Linked DNA regions of Anolis sagrei. The protein of the gene in region 2 interacts with the protein of the main gene of each other region in a biochemical or structural test. Links are inferred from orthologs where the notes say so. Each region holds a gene or a part of one and is shown on either strand. Other genes may lie near its edges. The genes, in order: YWHAQ and CDC25B.

Region 1 (10,095 bases), on a different chromosome or scaffold from region 2:
CAGCGCCCTGTTCTGTCACTGCCTTCATGCAGGTAGCCATGTCATCATAGCGCTCCGCCTGTTCAGCCAGCTTGGCCTTCTGGATCATCTCGGTCTTCTCCATGTTGGCCAGCAGCAGTATAAGCAGCGAGACAACTGGCTTGGGGAGGAGAGAGAGGCCTTTCACACAGTCAAGAGAAGGCACCAGAAAACCTGCAAGCACAAGGAGACGTTCTGAAATCTGTGCTCATTCCAAGTAAGCAATTGCTCAAAGCAACTAGAGGAGCTACTATGGATGTGGGGAGTCAGGCCAATGAGAAAGAGAGCAACAGTGAAGTGCTGCCAATGTAGATGCAAGAACAGAACAAACATAGCTTTAGAAAAGGTCAAATGATCCTCCTCCCCTGAGGATGTCACCTAAGGCCCCATCTACACTGCCATATAAAATCCAGATTATCTGCTTTGAACTGGATTATATGACAGATGCAGCCTAAGATAGCAATCCGGCTGGATCTGCACTGTCACATAATACAGTTTGAATCTGCACTATATGGTCAATGTAGACCAGACCAGCACAATCTGTGGTCTCCAGATGTTTGGGAATCCAACTCCCAGGAGCCCTAGTTTAGTCCAATGGTCAGAATGCTGAAGTCCAAAACACTTCTGAGCGTCACGGGTTGTGCATGTATGGTGTAGACACATACAATGCAGCTTCAAACTGTGTTGCTACGATTAAGGCCGCATCTACACTGTAGAACTGATGCGGTTTGACATTAATTTAAGGACAGTGGCTCAGTGCTGTAGAATCCTGGGAATTGTGGTTTGGTGGGGCACAAGACATCTTGGGCACAAAAGGCTTAAGACCTTGCAAAACCACAACTCCCATGATCCCATATATTTGGGCCATGACCCTTAACCAAGTATGGAACTGCATAAATTGTGCAGTGCAGGTGTACCTACAGTGCTTAGAAATAGTGATCGGGACAGAGGTCCCTACTTCAGGATTGGATATTCTGGGTGTTGCTGTTGAACTGTGGTTCCAATCATTTCTACCCAACATCCATAGCTATGAAGGATGGGAGCTGCAGTTCAACAGCATCTGAAAGCTATTCAGCCCCTTCTTTTGTAAATCAGAAGCAAAGAGATCAAGTCATGGGGAGGAGTGCTATTTGCAGAAATAAGAATCAAGCCTTCAAATCAAGGGCAGCCTTTAATAAGAATGCAAGACATGTGCAGAAGGGCGTCAGAGGCATGCAGGGCTAGAATAGGGAAGCCGGGTGCGGGAGAGGCAAAGGCTGCGTCTATTCTGCTGAATTAATGCAGTCGACACCCCCCTTTGCTTGGCATGGTTCAATCCTGTGGACTCCTGGGAGTTGCCCTTTTACTGGGGCCCTTTCCACACAGCTGAATAAAATCCCACATTATTTGCTTTGAACTGGAATATATGGCAGTGTGGACTCAGATAACCTGGTTCAAAGCAGTTATTATGCATTATTTGTCTTGATACTCTGTGTTATATAGCTCTGTGGAAGGGCCCTGGGGCCCCTTCCACAGTCCAATAACCCAGAACATCAAGGCAGAAAATCCCAAAATATCTGCTTTGAACTGGGTTATCTGAGTCCACACTCAGATAATGTGGGATGTCCTCCCTTGATATTCTAGGATATAGGGCTGTGTGGAAGGGCCCACTGAACTGAATAAAAACCCACATTTCCTGTTTTGAACTGGAATATATGGCAGTATGGACCCAGATAACCCAGGGTCCTTCCACACAGCCATATAACCCAGAATATCTAAGCAGAAAATCCACAATATCGGCTTTGAACTGGGCTATCTGAGTCCACACTGCCATATATTCCAGTTCAAAGCAGAAAATGTGGGATTCGCTGTGAGGAAGGGGTCCCAGTTCAAAGCAGATATCGTGGATTATCTGCTTTAATATTCTGGGTTACATAGCTGTGTAGAAGGGTGGGTGTTTAGCCATCTGTGCCTAAGAGGGCAGGTGCTTCACAGATCTATAGACCTCGGATTTCACGGCACTGATCCATGGCAGTTACAAAGGGGTGCCATGATGCATTCACTCTGCAGTATAAATGCACCTTGAGGTGGGAAAGCCTGGCAGGCAAAACAAGGAAATGAGCAACAGGAATAAAGCCAAAAGAGGGGCCAAGAAGAAAGGCCAGGAGTGGGAGCCTTTCCACACCGAGTCATATAGCCCAGAATATCAAGGCAGAAAATCTAACAATATCTGCTTTGAACTGGGTTATCTGATGGCTCTTCCACACAGTCCTATATCCCAGAATATCATGGCAGAAAATCTGCTTTGAACTGGAATATACGGCAGTGTGGATTCAGATAATTTAGGGCCCTTCCACACAGCCCTATGTCCCAGAATATCAAGGCAGAAAATTGCACATTATCTGAGTAGGAACTCAAACCCAGCAGATATTCTGGGATATAGGGCTGAGTGGAAGGGCCCTCAGATAACCCACCTGAAAGCAGATATTGTGGGATTTCCTGCCTTGATATTCTGGGTTATATGGTTGTGTGGAAGGGCCCCAAATCAAAAAGGGCTTTTGTGTCCATGCACTGTCTGACCCTGCCCTTCCCTGGTTGGTCATATGAGGCTGGCAGATATTCTGAACTATTCAGGTGTTGTCAATGCCTGGCAAAATAGAATAAGTAAAAAAATCAGGATTCCAACATAGAGTGACTTTCACATCACTGTGTGGGTAAGACTCCTTTCAAAGGTAATGGGCCTTCCATACAGCCCTATATCCCAGAATATCTTTGAACTGAGTGATCTGAGTCCACAGGATGATAAAACATCAAAATCATCTGGGCGTCCCCTGGGCAACGTCCTTGCAGTCAGCTTATTCTCTCACACCAGAAGAGACTTGCACTTTCTCAGGTCGCTTCTGACACGAACAAAAAATATATAAATCTGAGTCCACACGCAGATGAGGGATTTTCTAACTAGATATTTTGGGATATAGGGCTGTGTGGAAGGGCGCTGAGTTATCTAAGGCCCCTTCCACACATCTGTATATAATCTCACATTATCTGCTTTGAACTGGGTTATATAGTAATGTGGAAGGGCCCTGAGCCCACACTTCTATATATTCCAGTTCAAAGCAGAAATGCGAGATTTTATTCAGCTATGTGGAAGGGCCCTTGGTTATCTGAGTCCACAATTCTATATATCCAAATTCAAAGCAAATAATGTGAGATATTCTGGGATAGAGAGTTGTGTGGAAGGGCCCCCAGATACCCCGGTTCAAAGCAAGTATTGTGGGATTTCCTGCCTTGATATTCTGGGATAGCAGGTTGTGTGGAAGGGCCCCCAAGATACCCTGGTTCAAAGCAGGTATTTCCTGCCTTGATATTCTGGAATAGAGGGTTGTATGGAAAGGCCCCCAAGATACCCCGGTTCAAAGCAGGTATTGTGGGATTTCCTGCCTTGATATTCTGGAAAAGAGGGCTGTGTGGAAGGGCCCTCAGATAACCCTGTACAAAGCAGGTATTTCCTGCCTTGATATTCTGGGATAGAGGGTTGTGTGGAAGGGCCCCCAAGATACCCCGGTTCGAAGCAAGTATTGTGGGATTTCCTGACTTGATATTCTGGGAAAGAGGGCTGTGTGGAAGGGAGAAGAAGGAGGGAGCGAGGAGAAAGAGGAGGGCGCGCCCAAGGTGTGAAATCTTTGTCCGCAGAAGGGAGGGGAAGGAGGGAAGGAGGAAAATGGGGGAGGGGAGGGAAGAAAAAAGGGGAAGGAGGCGGAAAGAGAGGACAGCAAAAGGGAGTGAGGGGAGAGAGGAGTGAAAGCAAAACGGTGAAACACAAGGGGATCAGGAAGGGGATGAGGAGGTACAAAGGAAGAAGGGCTCCCCCACCTCCCTTCAGAAGGGCGGCAGGAAAAGAAGGTGAGCGGGCAGGGCAGGGGAAGGCCCACTCGACCGAGAGGCGCCTCCCTTGCCTTCCAGAAAAGGCCGGTGCGAAATGGCGGCGCTGGTGGTGAAGGTGCCGCCTCTCTTTCTCTGTGTGTGTGTGTGTGTGTCTCTCTCTTTCTAGCTGCCTCTCTTCCCTCCGCGGCTCTTCCGTCCTCCACAAAATGGACGCCACCGCGAGGAGAGGCGAAGAGAGGCGAGGCCACCCGCGGCGCGAGGACGTGCCCTCGCGCCCTCTCTCTCTTTTTTTTCTTCCTCGACCCCTTTCCCTCACCTGAGTCCGCCGCTGCTGCTGCTGCCGCTGCTGAGTCTCAGGGGGGCGCGAGGCCGTGCCGGCGCGCGCCTTCTGCTCAAGTCGACTGCGCTCGGAAGGAAGGAAGGAAGCAAGGAAGGACGGAAGGAAGGAGAGGAAGGAGGAGGGCGGGGGAGGAAGAGAGAGAGAGAGAGAGAGACAGAAAGCCGCTCCCGTCGCAGGCGCGAGGAACAGCGTCGCTGCTACAGGGCGTTGGCACAAAGCGCGAACCCACTCCGCGGCAAGGGCCCGCGCTCTCGCGGCTCGGCCAATCGGCACCGGCGATCCCTGCCCGGGCCCCGCCTTCGAGGTCCCTGGCGGCCAATGGCAGCCATGCGCGCGGCCGCGGAGAGGACTAAGCTAACCAGCAGGGCCCAAGCTCGGTTGGCCGGTGCTTGCGGCAGCTGGGGCCACGGGGTTTCCTCCAATTAGATCCAGGGTGGGATGACGTCACTGTCGCCATAGCGACGCCGCTACAACCCCCCTCCTCTCCTCTCCCTTGTTCTTTTTTTTTTTCTCCCCCGCACATGCGCAAAAGCGGCTCTTCCCTAGGAGCCAGGGCGAGGCACGAGACGGTGCGGAAGCGAGGGCAGGGAGTCAGGCACCGTCTCGTGCTGCTCCTTGCAAAGCGGGAGGGAAAAGCAAACGGGAGAGGAGGAGGAGGAGGAGGGTTTGCCATGCATGCTGAGTTGCTGCTGCTGCCTCCACCAAGCAGCACAGGAAGGAAGGTCAAAGTCTTCAGGGGAGGAATGCGAGCCGCAGATAAAGACCTTGAGTCCTCCATGCGGAGGAAATGCCGGAATTGGAGCAGGCATCCCGCCTTCAAAGCCAAGGAGGGTGGCTTTCGCAGGGGCTTAGCGGGCAACGTTACAAGGCATGACCAGCCATGGCCTCGCGGGGATCCAGAAATAGCGGCAGCTCCTCTCCTAATCCCTATCAATATACCCTTTCCTCTGCGCCAGGAAGAGGCTTTTGCAAAGCTAATGAGTTCTGATGCTTCGCCCCTTGCCTTGCCTTGCAAACGCGGCCCTTCGTTATATATTTATGTATGGATTTATTTATCACACTTTTATCCTGCCCTTTTTAGCCCAAAGGCGACTGAGGGCGGCATACAGACTGGCCACAATTAGATGCCGAAGACACGTAAATACATTAAATCACATAATAAAATTCATATTAAAACAATTTAAAACTATAAAAAATGACTTCCAGGTTTAAATCCATGTCCATTTGCATCGTCAAGTCGTTCCATATCCGTTCACAGTATATCTGGTTACAATGAGGTTCCAAAAGCTTGGTCGAAGAGCCAGATTTTTCCTAAAGGTCAGGAGGGAGAGGGCCGATCTAATATCCCCAGAAAGGGAGTTCCACAGCTGAGGGGGCACCACTGAGAAGGCCCTGTCCCTCATCCCCACCAAGCCCACCTGTGAGGCAGGTGGAATCAAGAGCAGGGCCTCCCCAGATGATCTTAAATTCCTGGAAGGTTCATAAGGGGAGACATGTTCGGATAGGTAAGTTGGGCCAGAACTGTTTAGGGCTTTATAGGCTAAAGCCAGCACTTTTAATTGTGCCTGGTAGCACACTGGCAGCCAGTGGAGCTGGCGCACTGTGGAGTTGTATGCTCCCTGAGCGCCGCTCCTCTTAGTAACCTGGCTGCCGCACGCTGGACCATTTCTAGCTTCCAGACAGTCTTCAAAGGCAACCCCACGTAGAGCACGTTGCAGTAGTCCATATGGGATGTAACCAGAACATGGACTACTATTGCCAAATCAGACTTCTCAAGGTACGGGCACAGCTGGCACACAAGTTTTAATTGTGCAAATGCTCTCCTGGTCACCACCCAGACCTGAGGTTCCAGGCTCAACTATGAATCCAGGATCACACCCAAGCTGCAAGCCTGCACCTTCAGGGGGAGTGTAACCCCGTCTAACACAGGCTGTAACCCTATGCCCTGTTCAGCCTTACGACTGACCAGGAGTACCTCTGTCTTGTCTGAATTCAATTTCTATTTGTTTGCCCTCATCCAGTCCAGTTGGATGTCATCTGCATACAGGTGACACCGCACCCCAAAACTCCAGATGATCTCCCCTAGTGGCTTCATGTAGATGTTAAATAACATGGGGGCAGTATTGAGCCCTGCAGAACCCCACAAGACAATGGTTGTGGAGTTGAACAGGTGTCCCGCAACAACACCTTCTGGATGCGACCCTCCAGAAAGGACTGGAGTCACTGCAAAACAGTGCTTCCAAGGCCCATTCCTGTGAGGCATCCCAGAAGGATACTGTGATCAATGGTATTGAAGGCCGCTGAGAGGTCCAGCAGAACCAACAGGGACACACTCCCCCTGTCTAGCACCTGGCGTAGATTATCCACTAAAGCAACCAAGGCTGTCTTGGTACCATGTCCCGGCCTAAAACCAGACTGTGCTGGGTCCAGATAATCCATGTCTTCCAAGAATACCTTGAGTTGTGAGGCCACCATACATTCCAGGACTTTGCCCAAGAAGGGTAGATTGGAAACAGGTCGATAGTTGACGAATTGAGTGGGGTCCAGTGATGGTTTTTTCAACAGCAGTTTTTATCACAGCTTGTTTTGAGCTCACTGGAATGTTATTTTCCCAAAGGGAGGCATTAACCACCACCTTCACCCACTCTGCCAATCCCCCTGCGGTCACTCTCATCCCTCCAAGTATCTTGTCCACAGCAACAGTAATGGCTGCTGAATCTGTTGCATCAACAACAAAAAAGAAATGTCACCTTAAATATAACATATTTAAATTAAATAATATTTTAAAATCATTTTAATAATAACAATTAAGTTGCTGTGATTTTTTCCAGGCTGTATGGCTGTGTTCCAGAAGCATTCTCTCCTGACGTTTTGCCCACATCTCTTGACAGGCATCCTCAGAAGTTGTGAGCGCAGGTGAAAAGTATCATAATAATATTTGGCATGAACTTCCAGGGGTTCAGCCTCACTTTCTCTGATGTGCAAAGTGTGGGCTCGGTAGGCATATATTGAACCCTTGAAATCTGCTATGGTTTGGTTCCAGGATCTTTTGTGGATACTCCAATCCGTGGATGCTCAAGTCCCATTATATGCCATGTTCTGGTGAGCCATTGCCCCTACAGCCTAATAAAACGGTGTCTCTTATACATAATAGCAAAACAAAAATCAAATGAGAGCTTGGGAATCTTTAACATAACCTGATCAGTGTTTTCAAAATTAGCAGGATTGTTATTGATCATCTTCTGAGAATCATTACCTTAAATAGAAAAAACCTACCCTATTTTGTTAGAAAGGATATTGGGTCTACCTACTTGTTGCTTTCTTATACAGTACTAGCCATCCCATGCCACACGTTGCTGTGGCCCAGTCTGTGTATATGTATTTTGTATGTGTATATGAGTGTATATATTTTTTGTATATGTGGTTTTGTGCATGCATTGTATTTTTTTTTTTAAAAAAATGCTTTTAAAGCATTTTTTGCTGTGTTTTTCAATTTTTTTTATGGGTGATGGTCACTTGTTGGCCTGATAGGTGTTATTGTTTCTAAATTTGGTGTCAATTCGTCCAGTGGTTTTTGAGTTATGTTAATCCCACAAACTAACATTACATTTTTATTTATATAGATGTATGAGTATGTTGTGTAAAGTCACAGAGCAGGTAGGATACCCCATCACTTGGAGTTGTTGTGGTAAGTTTAACTAAGGATTTGTGACACTTTGAGAATTTTGAGTTGCATTATATCAATGTCTTGGTGGAATGAGTAGGTCTAGAAAAATATGCGATTTGCATAAAGAGCATAGGGAAGATGTCATTTTGTTTTATTCTTTAAATGGAACCCATTAGTGGAAGATGTCCAGGACTGGTGGTAGTCTGAGTCCAACAACACAACATACACATCTACACTGATCCTTAACATAGTAATATCAACCTACTATGTAAAAATTTTCAATAACATTATTTTTTTTAAAAAAAACATAGTAATATTAATCTTTATTTGTACCCAGGCCCATCTCCCCGAGGGACTCAGGGCAGGTCATAACATGAAGAAGTGCAGTTAGATACATAAAAAGAAAGTGAACAAATAATAACACATCAAATCAACAATAAATAAAAAATAAACATTACCCATAGTTTGAGGGGCCAGGTTACCTACATTATCACCTCCGGCACAATCGCCCTTTTTGGAAAATGTGACTCTCCAAAACCATTTGGGAAATGGGATTCATAACCTTTTTGGAAATCCACTCATCAATGGAAAGGCATGACCTTGTTAGAAATCACAACCTTTTGGGGAAAAAAATTGCTTTCACCAGCATTCATGCAAGGCAACTAGGTCTCTCAGCTGTTGAACTGATGTACCTAGGTATGTCTTTGAACTGCTAAGGACAAAGACATGTCAATGAACAAAAACATATATTTAGCAGAGTTTCAGAAGTATTCCTTTTTAGTTGCCCAAAAAGATCTACTCTCCCTTAAAATATATTTGCCTTTAAATCATGCTCTCAAGAGACAAAATAAAGTCTTCTTTAAAAGTAACAGTTGATTTACTCACAAAACTTCATGTATACAGCATACAGGCACTTTGCTTATGAATCCAGTTACAATAGGATTTTGTAGTAGTTTATCTTTGTAGGTATCACAGGGCATTTTCCTTAGAAGCAACAGTCCATAGTCCAAAGCATCTCTCTGAGATCTAAGCATCCAGTTCCTGCATTGAAGTTTAAACCGAACTGTTCCTGCAATCTTCTTTGGTAGGGATACAAAGACAATGTGTTTTCAGTGGTGGCTTCTAAGATTTGGGGTGCCTTTCTTGGGATGGCGAGAAGCACCTGCATTGCTTATATCAGTACCCCCTATTTTTAGGTGAGACAAGTAAAATAATAAGTATAATATAAAATAATAATAATAATAATAATAATAATAATAATAGGCATCTTCATAAAAAGGCCTTTGCAGACTGGATGTTTTTGAAGAAGTAGCTTTTATTTGAAAGCTGTTCTATTTTTAATTGTTTCCATTTAATAAATAATATTTTATTTATTACCTGCCTCTGCTTTCTACTCAAGATGGAGCACAACATAGTTAAATACATCTATAATATCACATATTAAAATAGTTAAAATCTCTCACACCAGAAGCTACTTGCAGTTTCTCAAGTCACTCCTGACATGAAAAAAAAATCCCAAATTATCTTCTTATCCCTGATTATCTGATAGTGGAGACTCATATAATCCAGTTCAAAACAGAGAATAGATATAGGGCAATATAGCCTTAAACTCCCATGGTTCCATAGCATGCAGCCATAGCAGTTAAAGTGGTGTCCAACTGCATTAATTCCACATTGTAGATGCACTTGAGGTTCCTTGTGCCTGAATGTACTGGAAAAGGCAAGACTCTCCCCTCCTCTCTAAGGACCCTTCCAAACAACCCAGAATATCAAGGCAGAAAATCCCACTATATCTGCTTTGAACTGGGTTATCTGAGTCATGCCATGTATTCCATTTGAAAGCAGAAAATGTAGGATTTTATGCAGCTGTGTGGAAGGGGCCTCAGCCTGCAGAAACTGAAGAAAGCTGAGGCCAAAAGGTGAAAGTGGAGTGGAGAGAGAAAAACCAAGACATTTCAAAATTCAGCCAACAATGTGGAACTGAGGTTTAATTCAGATGGTGGCTAGAACAGAAATCATAACCCTGTCCCTTTATCCCATATGGAAAATGTCCTGTAACAATGGCATTTAGTAAAATGAACTCAGACCGCATCCACCCAAAGCAACTGGAAAACATTTTTTTTCTTTCTATGTTGCTTAAATTATGTTCTGAGTCATAATGTACAAATGGTCCGATGGTAACCATAGCTACTTGGAAATAGGTTCC
Region 2 (10,696 bases):
ACAAAAAATACATTACAACACATGCACAAAACTACATATATACACATATACAGAAATATGAGTCTGGAGAACAAGCCCTATGAGGAGCGGCTTAAGGAGCTGGGCATGTTTAGCCTGAAGAAGAGAAGGCTGAGAGGAGATGTGATAGCCATGTATAAATATGTGAGAGGAAGCCACAGGGAGGAGGAGGGAGCAAGCTTGTGTTCTGCTTCCCTGGAGACTAGGACGCAATGGAACAATGGCTTCAAACTACAAGAGAGGAGATTCCATCTGAACATGAGGAAGAACTTCCTGACTGTGAGAGCCGTTCAGCAGTGGAACTCTCTGCTTTCCCCGGAGGGAGTGTGGTGGAGGCTCCTTCTTTGGAAGCTTTTTAAGCAGAGGCTGGATGGCCCTCTGTCAGGGGCGATTTGAATGCAATATTCCTGCTTCTTGGCAGAATGGGGTTGGACTGGATAGCCCAGGAGGTCTCTTCCAACTCTTGGATTCCATGATTCTATGATTCTATGCATATATATATACACACAATACACATATACACAGACTAGGCCACAACAATGTGTGGCAGGGGACGGCTAGAATATATATATATATTGCTTCAAGATGCCCTTTGTGACTGATAATACCCTTGCAACCTTCCTTCCTTCCTCGACATGCATGCCTTCCCTTGGCCTTCCAATCAGCCTGCAATTACTTAAAAGTTGCACACAGTTTTGGTGGGGGATCTTCACCCGAAATTCCCACCAGATCTGCTTTGCACTGGGTCATCTGAGTCCACACTGCCACAGAATCCAGTTCCAAGCAGGCAACGTGGGATTTTGTCCAGCGGTGTGGAAGGGGCCTCCGGTCACCCAGTTCCAAGCAGATCTCGTGGGATGACCTGACTCGACATCCTGGGTTAGAGGAACACGTGGAAGGAAGGAAGGAAGTGAAGGAGACTCATTGCAAAACGAGGGCCAAATGTGCTTGCGATGGGTGAGCGAGGTCCCTCCTGCAAAAGCAAAGCTTGGGCCACTTTCCCCACGTGTTTGAGGAGACAGAGAATTGGGGAAAGGACACGGATGACCACGGAAGACAAATGGAGTCAGAACAAGGCCAAACAATAACACCACTAACCTATTAACATTAATAACAACAGTATATTGACAGAAATATATAATCATTATTGTTGTTATTAACATACTATTAGGATTAATATGAATGATACCAATATATTTATTGTTATTATTAGTCATAATACTCCTTTGGGGGGGGGCAAGGGGTCTCTTGGAGTGGCCCCCGTTGAGGCCTGCAAAACAGGGGAGCCCCCCCTCCCAGCACCCCACTCACACAACTATTGATACAGATATATATATTTATAGAGATATATTTATATAGAGAGAGACTGAAATAAAAGTAGATATACATAGTCAGAGATAAATATATTTATAGTGATACAGATTTTATAGCTATATAACGAAAAAGAGAGCAATATAGAAAGGTATTTATAGAGGGATAGATATATTTATATTTATATAGAGAGAGATTTATAGAGAAATACAGATATATATATATAGAGAGAGAGAGAGAAGCAGAGATATATTTAAGATATATATATTTATAGAGAGATATTTATAGAGAGATATTTATACAGAAAGATATATATATATATATATATATATATATATATATATATGGAGATATATAGATATATGTAAATGTAGATATATATAGCGATATATATATATATATAGTTTTATATAGAGAGAGAGATTAATAGACATATAGAGAAATAAATATTTATAGAGATATATTTATAGAGAGAGAAAGATATATTTACATATATATATATATATAGGAAGAGAGATATATATTTAAATGTAGATATATAGAGAGAGAGCCATAGAGAGATAGAGAAATACAGATATATATATAGTTAAGATATATATTTATTGAGAGATTAATAGACATTAAGAGAAATAGATATTTATAGAAAGATATATTTATATAAAGAGATATTTATACAGAAAGATATATTTACAGACATATATTGAAAGAGATATAGATATAAATATAGATATGTATTTATAGAGAGACCCAGAGAGATAGAGAAATATAGATACATATATTTATAGTTAGATATATATTTATTGAGAGGTTAATAGATATAATCTATAGATTATAGAGAGGTATATTGAGATATATAGAGATTGATATATATATATAGATTTTTATACAGAAGATATATTTACAGAGATAAAGATATATTTATTTATTTATTTATATAGAGAGAGATATTTAAATATAGATAAATATAGATTTAGAGACACAAAGAGACATAGAGAGTGAGAAATACAGATATATATATATATATTTATAGTTAGATGTATATCTATTGAGAGATTAATAGATATATAGAAATATATATATATATTTATAGAGACAGATTTAACAGATATATATATAGAGAAAGAAATTGATATATAGAGGTATTTGTACAGAAAGATATATACACAGAGAGAGAGAGAGAGAGAAAGAGATATATTTATAGATATATAGAGATATTTAAATATAGATAAATAGATATTTAGAGAGAGAAATACAGAGATGGATATATAGATAGATATCTAGAGAGAGAGACAGAGAGATTTAAGCGATATGTATATAGAGAGGGATTGATATATAGAGATATTTCTAGAGATGAAGAGATATATTTATAGATAGATATAGAGATATTTAAATATAAATATGTATTTACAGAGACAGAGAGAGTGAGAAATACAGAGATATATCTATTTATAATTAGATGTCTATCTATTGAGAAATGAATATATATAGAGAGAGGCACAGAGATATATTTAGTTAGATCTATTTTTATTGAGAGATTGATAGATATATAGAGAAATAGGTATTTATTTATAGGTAAATATATAGATATATTTAAATATATATAGAGATGCACAGAGAGATAAATGCGGAGAGAGATATTTATAGTTAGATATATATTTATTGAGAGATTAATAGATATATATAGAGAGATAGATATTTAGTTATAGATAGGCAGATATATATATATATTTAAATATATATATTTATAGAGATGCACAGAGATATATTTATAGTTAGATTTATTTTTATTGAGAGATTGATAGATATATAGAGAAATAGCTATTTAAAGAGAGAGATATATATACTTATAGAGACAGATATATTTAACAGATATATATAGAGAGAGAAATTGATATTTAGAGGTATTTCTACAGAAAGAGAGATATATACAGAGATAGAGAGAGATATATTTATAGATATAGAGAGATATTTAAACAGAGAGAAATATATATTTACATATGGAGAGAGAGAAATGCAGAGATGGATATATAGATATATAAATAGAGAGATATAGAGATATTTAAATATAGATAAAGAGATATTTAGAGAGAGAGAAATACAGATATATATATATATATATTTATTTATATATATTTATATATATTTATAATTAGATGTCTATCTATTGAGAGATTAATAGAGAGAGAGGCACAGAGATATATTTATAGTTAGATTTATTTTTATTTTTATTGAGAGATTGACGGATATATAGAGAAATAGATATTTAAAGAGAGATATATATTTATAGAGATATATTTAACAGATATATATATAAATTGATATATACAGAAATTTCTACAGAAAGATATATATATATATATACACACACACACACATACAGAGATAAAGAGATATATTTATAGATATTTAGAGATATTTAAACAGAGAGAAAGATATATTTACATATGGAGAGAGAGGGAGATAAATACAGAGATGGATATAGATATATAAATATATAGAGAGAAATAAATATATATTTATGGAGAGATATATTTATAGACAGAGATATATTTACAGAGATATATTTACAGAGATATATTTATAGATATATAGAGATATTTAAACAGAGATATTTAATAGATATAGATATTTAAATATAGATAAATAGATATTAGAGAGAGAAATACAGAGAGATATATATTTATAATTAGATGTCTATCTATTGAGAGATTAATAGATATAGAGAGAGGCACAGAGAGATATTTATAGTTAGATTTATTTTTATTGAGAGATTGATAGAGATATATATAGAGAAATAGGTATTTATTTATAGATAGGTAGATATATTTAAATATATAGAGAGATGCACAGAGAGATATTTATAGTTAGATTTTTATTGAGAGATAGATAGATAGAGACAGAGAAATATTTAACAGAGAGAGAAATTGATATTTAGAGGTATTTCTACAGAAAGATAAATATCTACAGAGATAAAGAGATATATTTATAGATATAGAGAGATATATTTAAACAGAGAGAAATATATATTTACATATAGAGAGAGAGAAGGGGGGAGAGAGAAATACAGAGATGGATATAGATATATAAATATATAGAGATATATTTATAGATATATAGAGATATATTTAAGCAGAGAGATATTTAACAGAGAGAGAGGAATACAGAGAGATATCTATTTATAATTAGATGTCTATCTATTGAGAGATTAATAGATATAGAGAGAGGCACAGAGAGATATTTATAGTTAGATTTATTTTTATTGAGAGATTGATAGAGATATAGAGAAATAGATATTTAAAGAGAGAGATATATTTATAGAGACAGAGATATATTCAATATAGAGAGAAATTGATATTTAGAGGTATTTCTACAGAAAGATATATATCTACAGAGATATAGAGAGAGATATTTAAACAGAGATTAATAGATATTTAGAGAGAGAGAGACACACACAGAGGGAAATACAGAGATGGATATAGATAGATATCTAGATATGTAAATAGAGAGACTGACCTTCCTAGGCCGGCCAGTCTGTCCATGTTGAGGGCCAGGCTGGCCACCGGGGAGAGGCCCCAACCCAAGCTGCTGGTGGGCCGGCGGGGATCCATGCTTTCTCTCGCCTTGCCTTGCCTTGCCTGCCTGCCTGCCTGCCTGCCTTCCTTCCTATACAACACACAGGCCAGGAGTAGGAAGGCGGCAGCGGCAGCAGTCCCACCGACTCCTCAGGAAGTCCAGGCCGAATGGAGCCAGCGCGGGAAGGAGGACCCGCTTTTATACCCAAGGGGCGGGGCCTCAGCCCAAGCCACGCCCCCGACACGCCCCCTCTATTGATATTCGAAAAATAACAGCGCCAAAGAGAGCAGCAGGCGGCAGCCAATCCGCGCGCAGGAAGGAGGGCAGGCACCCGGAAGTCAGGGAGGAAGGAAAGGCAAGCAGAAAGGAAAGAAGGAAGGAGCGGGTTTAAACCGCATCATTTATTATTATTTATTTATGTATTGCAGTTACTTCTACCCCGCCCTTCTCACCCCCGAGGGGGGACTCAGGGCGGCTTACAAACAAAGGCCCAAATTCGATGCCTGTCAAAATATACAGCATATATAAAACAGTATAAACATTTAGCAGCATTAAAACACATCACTACATAATATAATAAAAACAATTTCATGCACAGTGAGATTCAGAGTTCCGAAATGTCCATTCATTCCAACAATTCCTGCTCATCAATGAGTCCTTATTTTAGCTGCCAGAATGTCCAAAAGCTTGGTCCCAGATCCAGGCCTTCAGTTTTTTTCTGAACGACAGAAGGGAGGTCGCTGATCTGATCTCCCCGGGGAGTGAGTTCCACAGGTGAGGGGCCACCACCGAGAAGGCCCTGCTCCTCGTCCCCGCCAGCCTCGCTTGAGATAGAGGCGGGGTCGAGAGCAGGGCCTCCCCAGAAGATCTTAGACTCCGAGGTGGGATGTAGATGGAGATCCGTTCGGACAGATACACTGGGCCGGAACCGTATAGGGTTTTGTAGGTTAAAACCAGCACTTTGAATTGTGCTCGGAATTGGATCGGCAGCCAGTGGAGCTGATGTAGCAGGGGGGTGGTGTGCTCCCTGTACGCCGCTCCAGTGAGCAATCTGGCTGCTTCTCGCTGGACTAATTGTATAGACTACGAGATTGGTTATGATTCTATGATAAGACGAAGCGGATTATTTTAGTGTAATTAGATGATAGTGTATTAGTGATATGTTGTTTTTTTTGTCGTTGTAGTTATTGTAAAATGTGTTTTTTATATGTTGTACACCGCCGCGAGTCGCCCTAGGGCTGAGAGCGGCAGTTAACAAATGCAGCAAATAAATAAATAAAATAATAGTTTCCGAGCAGTCTTCAAAGGCAACCCCACGTAGAGTGCATTGCAGTAATCCAACCGGGATGTGACAAGAGCGTGGACCACCGTGGCCAGATCTGGCTTCTCAAGGTACGGGCGCAGCTGGCGCACAAGTTTTAATTGTGCGAAAGCTCTCCCGGCCACCGCTGAGACCTGGGGTTCCAGGCTCAGCGATGAGTCCAGGATCACTCCCATCAGCTCTACTGTGTAGACCAGGGGTCCTCAAACTTTTTAAGCAGAGGGCCAGGTCACAGTCCCTCAAACTGTTGGAGGGCCGGATTATAATTTGAAAAACAAAACAATAATAATAATAACTTTATTTTTTATTATTGTTATTGCTATTGTGGTTGTTCTTATAAGTGAGGGGCTAGGTGTGAAAAAGTAAGTGCCTGCCACCCCTGTCTTCGGGAGCGTCCACACAGTAGGGCTGATGCGGTTTAAACCCGCTCCTTCCTTCCTTCCTTCTTTCATGCTTGCCTTTGCTTCCTTCCCGACTTCCGGGTGCCTGCCCTCCTTCCTGCGCGCGGATTGGCTGCCGGCTGCTGGTCTCTTATTTGTAGTGTAAAAAACACTTAAAAACAATACAATAATTAAAATGTTAACAAATATAAACTTATTAGTATTCCAATGGGAAGTGTGGGCCTGCTTTTGGCTGATGAGATAGGGTTGTTGTTGTTGTTGTTGTGTGCTTTCAAGTCGTTTCAGACTTAGGTTGACCCTGAGCGAGGGCCGGGTTAATGACCTTGGAGGGCCACATCCGGCCCCCGGGCCATAGTTTGAGAGCCCCTGGTGTAGACGCAACCAAAAACACCGGTGGCAGGCACTTACTTTTTGACCCCTGTTGTTGTTCATTCGTTCAGTCGTCTCCGACTCTTCGTGACCTCATGGACCAGCCCACGCCAGAGCTCACTGTCAGCCGTCACCACCCCCAGTGTCTCCTTCAAGGTCAGTCCAGTCACTTCAAGGATGCCGTCCATCCATCTTGCCCTTGGTCGGCCCCTCTTCCTTTTGCCTTCCACCTTCCCCAGCATCATTGTCTTCTCTAGGTGACCCCACGCCAAAGCTCCCTGTCGGCCGTCACCACCCCCAACTCCTTCAAGGTCAGTCCAGTCCCTTCAAGGATGCCATCCATCCACCTTGCCCTTGGTCGGCCCCTCTTCCTTTTGCCTTCCACTTTCCCCAGCATCATTGTCTTCTCTAGGTGACCTCATGGACCAGCCCACGCCAAAGCTCCCTGTCGGCCGTCACCACCCCCAACTCCTTCAAGGTCAGTCCAGTCCCTTCAAGGATGCCATCCATCCACCTTGCCCTTGGTCGGCCCCTCTTCCTTTTGCCTTCCACTTTCCCCAGCATCATTGTCTTCTCTAGGTGACCTCATGGACCAGCCCACGCCAAAGCTCCCTGTCGGCCGTCACCACCCCCAACTCCTTCAAGGTCAGTCCAGTCCCTTCAAGGATGCCATCCATCCACCTTGCCCTTGGTCAGCCCCTCTTCCTTTTGCCTTCCACCTTCCCCAGCATCATTGTCTTCTCTAGGTGACCTCATGGACCAGCCCACGCCAAAGCTCCCTGTCGGCCGTCACCACCCCCAACTCCTTCAAGGTCAGTCCAGTCCCTTCAAGGATGCCATCCATCCACCTTGCCCTTGGTCGGCCCCTCTTCCTTTTGCCTTCCACTTTCCCCAGCATCATTGTCTTCTCTAGGTGACCTCATGGACCAGCCCACGCCAAAGCTCCCTGTCGGCCGTCACCACCCCCAACTCCTTCAAGGTCAGTCCAGTCCCTTCAAGGATGCCATCCATCCACCTTGCCCTTGGTCGGCCCCTCTTCCTTTTGCCTTCCACTTTCCCCAGCATCATTGTCTTCTCTAGGTGACCTCCTGGACCAGCCCACGCCAAAGCTCCTTGTCGGCTGTCACCACCCCCAGCTCCTTCAAGGTCAGTCCAGTCACTTCAAGGATGCCATCCCTCCACCTTGCCCTTGGTCGGCCCCTCTTCCTTTTGCCTTCCACTTTCCCCAGCATCATTGTCTTCTCTAGGTGACCTCATGGACCAGCCCACGCCAAAGCTCCCTGTCGGCCGTCACCACCCCCAACTCCTTCAAGGTCAGTCCAGTCCCTTCAAGGATGCCATCCATCCACCTTGCCCTTGGTCGGCCCCTCTTCCTTTTGCCTTCCACTTTCCCCAGCATCATTGTCTTCTCTAGGTGACCTCATGGACCAGCCCACGCCAAAGCTCCCTGTCGGCCGTCACCACCCCCAACTCCTTCAAGGTCAGTCCAGTCCCTTCAAGGATGCCATCCATCCACCTTGCCCTTGGTCGGCCCCTCTTCCTTTTGCCTTCCACTTTCCCCAGCATCATTGTCTTCTCTAGGTGACCTCCTGGACCAGCCCACGCCAAAGCTCCTTGTCGGCTGTCACCACCCCCAGCTCCTTCAAGGTCAGTCCAGTCACTTCAAGGATGCCATCCCTCCACCTTGCCCTTGGTCGGCCCCTCTTCCTTTTACCTTCCACTTTCCCCAGCATCATTGTCTTCTCTAGGTGATCTCCTGGACCAGCCCACACCAAAGCTCCCTGTCGGCCGTGGCCACCCCCAGCTCCTTCAAGGTCAGTCCAGTCACTTCAAGGATGCCATCCATCCACCTTGCCCTTGGTCGGCCCCTCTTCCTTTTGCCTTCCACTTTCCCCAGCATCATTGTCTTCTCTAGGTGACCTCCTGGACCAGCCCACGCCAGAGCTCCCTGTCGGCCGTCACCACCCCCAGGGTCTCCTTCAAGGTCAGTCCAGTCCCTCCAAGGATGCCATCCATCCATCTTGCCCTTGGTCGGCCCCTCTTCCTTTTGCCTTCCACTTTCCCCAGCATCATTGTCTTCTCTAGGTGACCTCCTGGACCAGCCCACGCCAGAGCTCCCTGTCGGCCGTCACCACCCCCAGGGTCTCCTTCAAGGTCAGTCCAGTCACCTCAAGGATGCCATCCATCCACCTTGCCCTTGGTCGGCCCCTCTTCCTTTTGCCTTCCACTTTCCCCAGCATCATTCCCTTCTCCAGGCTTTGCTGTCTCCTCATGATGTGGCATTCAAAGGACTTCAACTTTGTCTCTCATCTCCTTCCCTCCAGTGAGCAGCCGGGCTTTATTTCCTGGAGGATGGACTGGTTGGATCTTCTCGCAGCCCAAGGCACTCTCAGAACTTTCCTCCAACACCACAGCTCAAAAGCATCTCTCTTCCTTTGCTCAGCCTTCCCGAAGGTCTAGCTCTCACATCCGTAGGTGACTCCAGGGAAGACCATGGCTTGGACTAGGCAATGGATCTTGGTTGCCAGTCTGATGTCTCTGCTCTTGACTCTTTTATCGAGACTGGACATTGCTCTCCTCCCAAGAAGGAAGCGTCTCCTGATTTCCTGGCCACAGTCTGCGTCCACACTCATCTTTGCGCCTAGAAATACAAAGTCTGTCACGGCCTCCACATTTTCTCCCTCTATTTTCCAGTTGTCAATCATTCTTGTTGCCATAATCTTGGTTTTTTTGACGTTTAGCTGCAACCCGGCTTTTTTTTTTGACCCCTAGCCCATCAATAATAACAACAACAATAGTAACAATAATAATAATAATAAATACTATTTAATAAATAATAATAATAATAATAGTATAATAATAATAATAATAAGTAAAACATAAATAAAATAACAATAATATAAAATTAAAAATAATTAATAATAATATTTAATAAAATTATTATTATTAATAGTAATAAAAATTACTATTTAAAATAAATAAAATAATAAAATAAAATTAAAATAATTACTACAAATAATAATAACAATAATAATTAATAAAAATAATAATAAAACAATAAATGCAAAGACTCTGGCACAAACCAGTCAAGATGGTCCCAGTGGTGATGGGCACACCGGGTGCAGTGCCTCAAGACCTTGGTCTGCACTTAAAAACAATCGGCACCAACAAGATTACCATCTGCCATCTGCCAACAGGTGGCCATCCAGCCTTTGTAATATTAGTATTAAGAAGAAGAAGAAGAAGAAGTAAAAAATAAATTAAATGAAAAAAATTAATATAAATAATAATAATAAATTGAGGATTTAAAGATCGAACTGCAAAGACTCTGGCACAAGACAGTCAAGGGGGTCCCAGTGGTGATCGGCACACCAGGTGCAGTGGCTGAAGACCTTGGCCTGCACTTAAACACAATTGGCGCTGACAAGATTACCATCTGCCATTTGCAAAAGGCCACCTTACTGGGATCTGCACGCATTATTTGCCAATACATCACACAGTCCAAGATACTTGGGAAGGGTCCGACATGGGATCCAATACAACAGCCAGCAGAGTGATCTTGTCTGCTGTGGACTCATCTTTTTGTGTCTCAAATAATAATAATAATAACAACAACGACAACAACAGCCAGCAGAGTGACCTTGTCTGCTGTGTACCAATCTTGTTGTGTTTCAAATAATAATAAAATATTTAACGATTATGA

Evidence for each region.
Region 1: the proteins of CDC25B (region 2) and YWHAQ form a complex in vitro, tested with the Homo sapiens proteins (2 studies listed by BioGRID). The link is inferred for Anolis sagrei from reciprocal best matches to the Homo sapiens genes CDC25B and YWHAQ.

The regions. Positions count from the first base shown.
Region 1 is NC_090021.1:130,706,578-130,716,672, reverse strand, and holds the start of YWHAQ (14-3-3 protein theta), read right to left. Parts: upstream 4,460-10,095; 5' UTR 4,199-4,459; intron 193-4,198; 5' UTR 104-192; coding exon 1-103. UniProt on the Homo sapiens protein: Adapter protein implicated in the regulation of a large spectrum of both general and specialized signaling pathways. Binds to a large number of partners, usually by recognition of a phosphoserine or phosphothreonine motif.
Region 2 is NC_090025.1:1,199,247-1,209,942, reverse strand, and holds the start of CDC25B (M-phase inducer phosphatase 2), read right to left. Parts: upstream 5,060-10,696; 5' UTR 4,938-5,059; coding exon 4,843-4,937; intron 1-4,842. UniProt on the Homo sapiens protein: Tyrosine protein phosphatase which functions as a dosage-dependent inducer of mitotic progression. Directly dephosphorylates CDK1 and stimulates its kinase activity.